Linked DNA regions of Saccharomyces cerevisiae S288C. Changing the gene in region 1 together with any one later gene gives a genetic interaction. Each region holds a gene or a part of one and is shown in the gene's direction. Other genes may lie near its edges.

Evidence for each region.
Region 2: mutations in ATG40 (region 1) and SOL2 together harm fitness more than expected from each alone (negative genetic interaction), as found in Saccharomyces cerevisiae (one large-scale study listed by BioGRID).
Region 3: of ATG40 (region 1) and ATG15, changing one suppresses a phenotype caused by changing the other (phenotypic suppression), as found in Saccharomyces cerevisiae (one study listed by BioGRID).

What each region holds. Positions count from the first base shown.
Region 1 is NC_001147.6:617,014-620,442, reverse strand, and holds ATG40 (Atg40p), read left to right. Parts: upstream 1-2,154; coding exon 2,155-2,925; downstream 2,926-3,429. Other genes in the region: ATP-binding cassette multidrug transporter PDR5, read right to left, coding at 1-603. UniProt on the Saccharomyces cerevisiae protein: Acts as a receptor for reticulophagy. Directs autophagic sequestration of folded tubules/sheets derived from the cortical endoplasmic reticulum (cER) and the cytoplasmic endoplasmic reticulum (cytoER) into autophagosomes.
Region 2 is NC_001135.5:244,874-248,479, forward strand, and holds SOL2 (Sol2p), read left to right. Parts: upstream 1-2,089; coding exon 2,090-3,037; downstream 3,038-3,606. Other genes in the region: mitogen-activated protein kinase kinase kinase SSK22, read right to left, coding at 1-1,710; cystinosin-like protein ERS1, read right to left, coding at 3,160-3,606. UniProt on the Saccharomyces cerevisiae protein: May be involved in regulation of tRNA subcellular distribution.
Region 3 is NC_001135.5:235,079-238,836, forward strand, and holds ATG15 (triglyceride lipase ATG15), read left to right. Parts: upstream 1-2,135; coding exon 2,136-3,698; downstream 3,699-3,758. Other genes in the region: GTPase-activating protein SED4, read right to left, coding at 1-1,244. UniProt on the Saccharomyces cerevisiae protein: Lipase which is essential for lysis of subvacuolar cytoplasm to vacuole targeted bodies and intravacuolar autophagic bodies. Involved in the lysis of intravacuolar multivesicular body (MVB) vesicles.

The sequences.
Region 1 (3,429 bases):
AGTAGTACAGCCAGAGCCTGGTCTACCTAAAACGACTAGCAATTCACCTGGGTTTAGGCAACCATCCATTGGTTTCAAGATTTGGAAAGTATTGGTTTCTTTAGAACGTTGAAACTTTCTCAGCCCACTTTTTAGGATTTTGTATGGAATATTAACCACAGTTGACTGATAGGCGACATCTGCGGAAGCACCAGAAGCACTTAAGTTCTTCCAAGCGCAACCTAAGGAATAAGGCTTATAAAAGTCAGGGTCTGCCGCACTTAGGTGAGCCATATTCTTAACCCAGGCGGCACTAGAAAAATTTTCGGAGTTGGGGTCCAATTTTGGGTCATAGCCTGGAGCTTCAGGATCAGAGAATATCGGGTTTACACCTTCCACACCGCTAGAAAATATAGACTGAGCATCACTTTTGTTGGGTGCCGATTGAGTGGAGTTTTGCATACTCTGTGCGGTCAGAGTCCTTGCCAGTTTTTGGATTCGAGCTTCTGTATGCTCATCGAACCCATTATAATTGTGTAGATCAGCAGCGTTTTCAGTAGAAGAAGACGCGGAGGAGTAGCTAGTAACGTCGTTGACGTTATTGTTAAGCTTGGCCTCGGGCATTTTTGTCTAAAGTCTTTCGAACGAGCGGATACGAAAACTTAAAAGGGTCTTTAATTTCTTTTTCGAAAGTTCCTAGTTGCCAATTTATTTATAATTAGAATAACAAAGTCGAGTGATAACTAACACAGTTGTTATATGTTTGCAACTTTGCGTGACTTTTTTCTTTTGGATTTCATTCTAAGGTATGATAATAAAAGCGAACAGCCATAAGGTTATGCACATCACAATTATATATGTATAGGAGAGGCCTTGTTTGTATTGCTCAGATTACGTTCAACAGATATCGTACCACGGCGTAGAAGAGTTCCGCGGAGACATTTCTCTTTTTTTAGCACATTACCATAAGTAGGAATACAGATCTGACCTTTCCACGGAATCACGAGTCCAAAGGGTGCTGAATCGTGATCACGACCCGCGGGTGAGCCCACACTCACCGGAGTCTTAGTAAATCTGAAAATGTTGTGGCACCGCGGCATGAGCGATTCCGCGGAAAGAGAGGGGCAGTCTTAAGTTTCAGTCCACTCGTTCCGTGGGAAGCAATCGACCGAATGGTTCTCCACGGACGTTTTCTCGGCGGCAAGGTTGTGTCGTGATAATCGTTGCATAGATGTGATGGCTTCCTGCAACTTATCCTGTGCTCGAAGGCGCAGAATGCGAACGTTCGCGCTGAGGAACGTTCATGTTCTTTTATTAGTAAGATCATACGTGTGGTGTTGTTTTCCATTGAGTTCCACTCCTGATTGTGTGAAGTGATAAATGTTGTGTACTATGTAAGGGACTGCGCCAACGAGGTGCTGCTTTCTATTATGGCAAATTGTTGCGAGTATGGCTTAATTGTTTATTGTAATAGGTAATTTGATGTTCTTTTTTTTCTTTGATTTGAACTTTTGTTCTCTCTCTCAACTTTTTCTTTTCTTTGTCCTTGTTGATTAGATTGTGACGATAATTTCCTTATAATATCATTGTTGGAATCAAAGAGGAAGACATATTTACGTTAACGAACAAGTTCAGTGAACCATCTAAACATAGAAAGGGGTCCCAGAGAACGCTTCCTTTGTATGATATCTGAAATTTGTCTACTGCATTCAGGCTTATATATATGTGTGTGGTAGCGCCCAACGGAGAACCGTATATGACGGACTTTACTGTGTCACATTTCAGAAAAACAATAAGTGTTTTTCCCTTCCGTAAATAGCACATATTCATTCCTATATCGCCTCTCTGTTTTATGCTCTTTTTTCCCGGGCATTTATTATTACCCGGTATTTCCAAAGATGCGGTTACTGCCCGCGGGTATTGGGCCTCCCTTAATATGCATCGATTTTACTGTTTAAAATCGTACAAAAGATAATATGTGGAAACAACTTTCCTAAGCAGCGAAATACACGTGCAAGAGCAACGTTATATCATTTCGATTTCATTTAATTTGATCTGGCTCGACATTAGTATTTCAAATCGAGGATAAGATTTTTGTAGTGCTCTTTTTTTCTATCTTTTAGCTAAGGTTCCTAACGTTCTTTCTGCTGTGCTTCACTCCACCATAGAAAACTAATGTTTAATTTAATTTTATGGCCCTTATTTTTGCTTACCTCAGTTGCCATTCCTTTGCAGCTGACATTAGAAGTGGTCTATCTGACGTCTTCCGTTGACTTCTCAAAGGCAAGTGCTGCTAAAACCGCTACTTCTTTGGGTCAGTCCCCAGTTGTCATCACCATTTATAAATCACTGTTAAAATATTGGAGTCTTTACGAGTTCATACATTTTATTTACCTCTATACTCCTATTGATGCCTTTCTGAATTTCTTACCATTTACCTCTTTACTTATGTCGTTTGGAAGTATTTGCTTGACAAGAGAGCTGGTATATGACTTCATTGCCTTTATGGAATCTCAAAACAAGCTTACCGGATTCCTTAATAAGATAACAGAACCGAATTTTAACAGTTATTTACTGTTTTCTTCAATTTATAACATTTGGTTTGCAGATGACACCAATGACAAATTCTTATTCGGTAAATTAACTCAGATTTTAATATCTGTAACAAAAAGGTACGAATTTCCAAGAACATTCTACTTAGCAAAAGTTTCTGATTTCCTACAAAATCTCATTCTAACGAGATTGAGACCCTTTGTAACGGAGCAACCCCAAGGCGACAAAAATCGCTATCAAAACGGTGACCGTGAATCTACAAAGAATGGAGCTGCTTATCAGAAGTCTTCACAACAATCATCGTCTTTCGAACAAAATTTTACCAGCACTGAGTTCCCGAATGATTATGATTTTATGGAGGATATTCTAGATGAGACAACTGAATTGGATTAGAATAGTTTTTCCATTTTACCATAATGGTAGTCTATGAAGGTACCTAATTTTTCATAGACACAAAACAAAGTTCAGGCGACGAAACACAAAAATCGCCATATATATTTACGCATATGTATGCATTCTAGGAAACAGAAAAAAATAAATAATATAGTTCCTTCTTGTGACTTCCTCTCCAACCCGCCGCATAATCGTCGGCATGGTTAAACATGCTGTATCGGCTATTAAGGAAAGAAAGTATACATAAAAGAATGAAATAAAGTTGTCCAAATGGTGAAGAATTTAAAAAAATGCTACTTCGAGCTGCTACTATGAGTTTATAGGCTGAACATAGCATATAGCATTTCATAACTGCACTATAATTGAGGTTTCTCTGTTTTAAAAGCATAATCCCAAATAATTCTGAGTTGACAAAATAGCGGCCATCTTAAAATAATTTGTTACCCTGCTTGGCGTTCAAAATGATTTTTCACTTTTCTATTTTTTTTCATCCTCTCACTTTCG
Region 2 (3,606 bases), on another chromosome or scaffold:
ATTGCTGAACCTGTTCAGCTTTCTTTTCATGGCACCCAAATTTTCGAAAATGGAACTTAGCCATTTTTCTGCTTCTGAAGCGTTAGCAAATGTTGGTGGGAAGTTTTGTTGTTTCAAAAGATAGAATTGCAATTTATGTACGAGTCTCAAAGTTAACTTGAGAAATTCATTTGGAATCACGGTTTCTGCACCGTTAATATAGTGACCGGTGTTTTTTAGGTGATCCCAGTATTTCAAGAGTAGATCGGGTGCTTTGAAATTTTGTTTACTGGAATCAATCAACTTTAAATTCAACAGAAAAAATAAATAACGAATGGCTTCTATTACAGTATTTTCGAACGTCGGGTCAAAATCCACATCGAACGGCAAATTGGAGCAATATTTTGTCAGTGTGTACTTCAATTGCACAGAAAGTCGAATAAAAGCGTTAAAATCATCGATCATTTGATCGATCATCATCATTGTTGGATTTTTAAGCTTTCGTGCATATGACAATCTAGTCAAAATAACTTCTTTGATTAAATAGACGGGGAACGCCAGTAGTGATCTTAACCTTTCATAAGGATATTTTATGTTCATCTTTGTCAAAGTTTCTCTGTAGACTATAAAATGTAGTTTCAGTTTGAACATCCAAGGTGATAGCGGATAGAAAATTTTTTTTTGGAATATAGACTCGATGTTCTTTTCCTTCATCAATTGTTCTGCAAGAATCTTCATTTTGCAGTTCCATTGGGGCACACCATCAAAATCCTCTTGGCAATTATCCGAACTACTTATCGGTGAGAAACGGTTTATCCAGTCGTCCAACTCTTGCCTCCTCAACGTTAAGTTCGTTTTAAAGTTCAGCCAAGAATTCATTACGTCTATTCTAGCGGTAAATTCTGCAGTATTGGTGATTGGTTTATCCTTATACATTTTTTTCAAGTTAGGCCAATAAGAGACAACGCTGTGATATCTGTTCATGAGGTCTTGTAAGATGGCCTCCAGTGCATCCAGGCTCAATATCTTGCCCTGTGGAATTTGAAACTTCATTATCTCTTCAAAAACGGAATCTGAACTATCTCTTAAATATGTAAGCGACTGTTCCATCTCTTGCATGGTCCTCCCATTCAGCCATGCCTTCAATTCGAGCCATATCTCATCTGAGAGCTCCTTATTTAACCCTGGTTTCTTGACTTGGTTAGCAATCCTCGTCTTTTCACCTTTAACAATATCTCCCTTCAGCACTCTGGCCAGCATTGACTGCCATTTGAACCGTTCGGTCGCAATTTCATTCCAAGCTAGTTCATCACTGTCTGACCTCATTTTCCTGCAATAAGGTGTAGTGGAGAAAAACTTGACACCTGAGTGCAGGTCTTCATCAATTCTGTCGCCATTAGACAACCGAATAATTTCGTCATCACCGTCGTCTTCCTCGTAGCGGTTAGTGAGTTTTATGCCCCTCGTGTAGTAGTCATCTAAAGCGGTCTTTTTTAGCTTTTTCAAGTATAGCGATTCATTGAAAACGTATCGGTCCTTAAAAGTCAGCTGACTGGGGCCGTCGCTTATTGTTTCCGAGCCACCCAATGCTTTCAAATCAGATCTTGATAGTTTATGGCTGGAATGACTTGATAATCTCTTCACGAGCTTACTTGAGATGGTATGAGGAGCCAGAACTCTCCCGCCTTCAGCCGCTTTTTGTTGCTGTGTATTCAGTATATCCATCATCATTTTCACCTACAAGGAACTACCTTTTATAGCCACCCTAAGTAAAACAACATTAGCTTAGCATCCTCAATTCTTATCGTATGTTGTTGCTGCTATTTTTATCCTATTGTTCCTGGCATCGCTTTTTTACATAAGGTACCAAGGCAAGAGAAAAGACCCGCGAAATTTTCAATTCGAGACATAGGGTTAATACGAAATATGTTAAGGTCTAGTTTCCAAAAAATGAAGAAAATGTGATTAGACATCCTGGGGAAATTAGGTTTAAATAGGGCGGGCGCTACAGGGGTTTTCCTAACAAATTTCAATGATAATAGTGGCATCATCATCGTCATATCCAGTGTAGGTATGGACTAGAACAGAAAGCAATTTGCAGCAAGACAATATGACTACGACGGTACCCAAGATATTCGCGTTTCACGAGTTTTCAGACGTGGCAGAGGCCGTAGCTGACCATGTAGTCCACGCGCAAGACGGTGCATTGGCTCCAAAGAACGAGAGGAAACACTCTGTTCCCAACATCAGCATGAATGCACTGGATATGACGAGAGAGGCCTCTTGCAAAAGCACAGCATCTGCCGCGGAAGGGAAAAGTGGTAGCAGTGGTAGTGGCAGTGGTAGCAGTAAGCCCAAAAAGGAGAAACGGTTCAAGATTGCTCTCTCCGGTGGGTCATTGATCGAAGTGCTACACGAAGGTCTGCTAAAACGAGACGATGTACGGTGGGGAGACTGGGACATTTACTTTGCAGACGAGAGACTTGTACCCTTCAGCTCGAATGAAAGCAATTATGGATGCGCCAAAAGGAAGATTTTGGACCTGATAGACACGGCGAAGTATGGAACTCCGAAGGTGTACCACATTGACGAGTCATTGATTGACGACCCGCAAGAATGCGCTGATAACTATGAAAAGGTGCTAATCCGCGGGTTTGCCGGTAGAGATTCCGTCAAACTTCCGATGTTCGACTTGTTCCTGCTTGGTTGTGCCCCCGATGGTCATATCGCATCACTCTTCCCTAACTTCCAGGACAATCTACGTGAGAAACTTGCATGGGTGGTGCCCGTGGAGAACGCTCCTAGTGGGCCCTCGACCAGAATTTCGCTGACTATACCTGTAATCTGCCATTCTCACAGGGTTACTTTCGTTGTCGAAGGTGCAACCAAGGCGCCCATCATCAAGACCATTATGGAAAGGCCTGAAAAGGGCCTACCTAGCAGTATTGTCAACGAAGGTGCTGCTGGTCGTGTATCATGGTTTGTTGACGACGATGCTCTTACGGACGTCCTCGTCACCAAAAAAAAGTATAAATTCCACCAAGGTTTGTCTATTTAAACCATGCATGTGTGTACATACATACATACACACATACATACATACATACATATATTTATGTATATTTATGTATATATATATATATATATATATGCGTAATTATGCAGATTTCTCCTTGTGTGCTACAGCGGGTACTCTGACGCCAGATCATGGCCTCGAGATCGATATACAAACCACTGCATGATAAAGATGAAGTTGAATATTAAAGTTACCATTGACAGTCCCACTTTTCCAAAATTTGTCACGAACGTATCCAGACTGAAACCTTGATCGTTAGACAACTGCCAAATCAATTGGAGCAGCGAGGCGATACCGCCAGTGACATCTAGAAACACACCCTGAATGGGGAAACAATCCATAGATTTTCTTGTCGAGTTATGCGTCACTTGTGGGATGTACTTGATTAGTGACATCGATATTTTGAGTAAAAACAAATTGTTGCAATACGCCAGAGTTCTTGAGTTATGCCAATCGTACCAGTAGTTGGAGTACATAAATTGTACGGTTAGCAGTGAAAAAATGGCCAGTGATGCGAGTAAAATCCTTAGGTACCATGGATTCATCTTGCG
Region 3 (3,758 bases), on another chromosome or scaffold:
ATGATATCTGCACTTTCAGTAATGCCTCTGTAATCGTCATTAATAGTGAAATAAGAAGAAGATCCTTGGTCTATGGTAGTGTTTTCCTTGAATTTCGACTTATATATATCATGAGCATGTTTGTAAATAAAGCCGTGCACATTATGTTTGTAGCCTAGTTGAATAGCGCCAGCCAAAACCACTAACAAAACAAAATTCAAGAAAAATTTCCAAATATTTCGTAAAATTGATGACGATGTACCGGAAAGCTTCAGAACGTTGATCGTGTTCCCCATAGAAGTGCTTGCCAAATATCTAGAATCTGGAGAAAAAGTAACTTTTGTTATAGTAGATTCATGTACTCTTGGAACCAACTGAACAAGCTTTAGCTTTTCAACGCTGACGATGGCAACCAAGTTATCGTTAGATGATAATGCAACGAACTTCTTATTTGGGGAGACATCCATCGATGTTATTCCATTCAAATCGAACATGAAGGATGCTGTTTTTAAAATTTTAACACCTTTGGAACTCACACCTAGTTTTAACAAGGAAACTCCATCAGAGTTCGATAATGATGCTGCCACTAATAGCGTATTGTCATTGAGAAACCTGATATTAGAAAGAACAAGATTTTTATCAAAATCCGTTTTCCTTGCTACAAAATTTCCGTCCCTAACAGACGCTACTTCCAAAGAATTAGAAGTGATATATGACAAAAGAATACCGTTAGGGGCGAAGTGCAAATCATTAACTTCCCTACCCGTTTCAATTTCGTAATTTTCCGTCAAATTACGCGGGTCAATGATTCTTATCACAGTGGGCACTTCAGAGGACGCAATTGCAGCTACTGTGGCCCTTTGATTAATGTAAACAAACTTAGTGAAAACGGATGGGTCTGTAGTTCTGTTGAAATCAATACTGGCCACGAATTTTAGATGTTCTTGTTCAAACACAAACTTCCTCAAGTGGTGGTTAACGTTCTCCATGGAGGAATCATTAAACAGTTCATTGCAACCAACTAGAATCAGGTTATTATTACAATCCAATGAAGTGGGCGCATCGTCAATCGAATCTAATGTGATCTCACGAAACCTTCTAATGTGTTTCTTTTTCTGGAAGTTCACCTTTAAAGCTGTAATTTTGTTTGGAAACGAGGAATTGAACTGGCCTCCACCACCAGCCACCAGTAGAGTGCCTTCATTTATAAATTTAGCACCATATATCGGATATCCGACGTCATAGTTTGCAGAGTTGCCACTCATTATTATGCTAGTTTTTCTAAGTTTAAAAGGAGAGAAAAAAAAGGAAGAGAGGACGTATCGTAGGGAATTGTGATGCTTGTTGACAAACAGCCTCCGTCGATCGAAGCAGCTATAAGCGTAGGTTACTTGAAGCGTTCACAGTTCTCATTTACACTGTACAATTCTCGAGATATAAATGAAAATTACTACAACCAAGAAAAAAGGACAGGAGGGCTAAAAGGATAATAAAATAGGGCAGTTACAAATGTGGTCAAAAATACTAGGGCTCAAAATTGCTAAGTAAGGGCTTGACAGATGTAACATAATACGAAATAAACTGGATATCGTTTAATAATTATCAAGGTGATTTAAATCGTAAATACATAGGCTGGGCCATATACACTAACATGTGTCGTGACCAATGTGCAGCAGATAGACTTGCTCATTAAATATATTCCAGGTAGGATTCTCTAAGGGTTTTTTTTTTTCTCTATAGCTGTCACTTTTTTTTTTTTCTCTTATCAATCACAGATATAATAAGCATAACATCGGAAAGAAAATAATGATAGGGCAAAAGGGAAAGCATTTCCAGTTGAATACAGTATCTCTACTATATTGTTGTTCGCTGAAGACAGCCGTTTCCGGAAAAAAGTGATTGTGTGATCGCAGTTACCCGCACCTTTGTTCAACAGTACATAATAAGAATCTGTAGATATAGATGAACTTTCTCTATTACATAAGACTAGCCTAAAAGCCTTGTTTCTATCATTTAAAGGCTTTTGAGACACTCAAATCAGTGTCAACCTTTTGGATAAGTCAAAGAAAGTACGCCGCTGCTCAGAAAATTGTTATCGTGATTGAGAACTGATCTAGGCATTACAATTAAAGGAAACAAGGGAAATATTCTATTGAATGTTGCATAAAAGCCCTTCAAGAAAGAGATTTGCTTCTCCTTTGCATCTAGGATGCATTCTAACGCTTACAGTGCTCTGCCTTATTGCTTACTACTTTGCTTTACCGGATTATTTATCGGTAGGGAAGAGCTCATCCAGGGGTGCCATGGATCAAAAATCTGATGGAACCTTTAGACTTAAGTCTATCTACAGGCATGGCGTCGGAGCAAACCATCGGCTACACCAGAGGCTGGAGGTCACTCCAGAAGTTATTTCTGCCGCTGGAATGCTGTATCAAGAAACCACAACTCAAGGACAGGATTTCGAAGACCAAGAACCCCTATGGACTACTAATGCCGAATATGCCACCACTAACCCATTCGATTTTGAGTTTGAGCTACGAAGGATGCCGCTATTGATGAAGCGGATGAAGGAAAGAGATCCTGAATTCATAGAGTCGTACATTTACGGAGAAACATACATGACGGAGGAGGAAGAACACGCCATGTGGATAGATGATGACATTGTGGCACCCAATATCACAGATAGAGGTACAGTAGTGTCGTTAGCATTAATGTCGTCTAATGCTTACGTGAGAATACCGCAAACGGGAGACTGGCGTAACGTCACGGAGCCGTGGAATGAAACAGAGCCGGAAGATTTTGGTTGGGATGGTGATGGTATACGTGGTCACGTCTTTTACAATGAAGTGGAGAATATCGTGGTACTCTCGATAAAGGGAACCAGCGCTCAGGGTTTGCCAGGGTCTGGCGAAGATGAGACAACTGGAAACGACAAGATCAACGATAATTTGTTATTTTCGTGTTGTTGTGCAAGAGTGAGCTACCTGTGGACTACCGTGTGCGATTGCTATGTGAAGTCGTATATATGCGATGAGTCTTGCCTGGAAAAGGAACTGAGACGTAAGGATAGATTTTACTCTGCAGTCGTTGACATATACAAAGGCGTCCTCAAAGAATACCCCGATGCGGCCATATGGGTCACAGGCCACTCACTGGGAGGCGCATTGGCCAGTTTACTGGGCCGCACTTTTGGATTGCCTGCGGTCGCATTCGAGTCCCCTGGAGAGCTACTACCTTCAAAAAGACTTCACTTACCATTCCCACCGGGACTTCCCTCATACATGGAGGGTATCTGGCACTTCGGTCACAACGCAGACCCAATCTTCATGGGTACATGCAACGGAGCTAGTTCAAGTTGCTCACTGGTGGGCTACGCTATGGAAACCGCGTGCCACACTGGTAGAGTCTGTGTCTACGATGTGGTCAACGACAAGGGCTGGAGTGTAAACATGTTCAACCACAGAATCCACAAAGTCATTGACGAAGTTCTCCTTGGATACGAGCAGGCTGCCAAGTGCGTTGAACCAGAGCCCTGCGTAGATTGCTACAACTGGAAGTTTATTCCAAGCAGAGACTGGGAATCCTCATCGAGGCTCATTACCAAGACTAAAAGCCACGCTGCACCAACCACGACGACTCGCACCACTGCTACTACTACCTCTTCATCTACCTGTGTAGGCCGCAATTGGCTTGGCTTCTGCACCAAATACGAGTTGTAAGACCCATACATCTATTATGACCCTAGTGTTGTTTTAGGGCCTATGCGCCCTTTTTTTCTT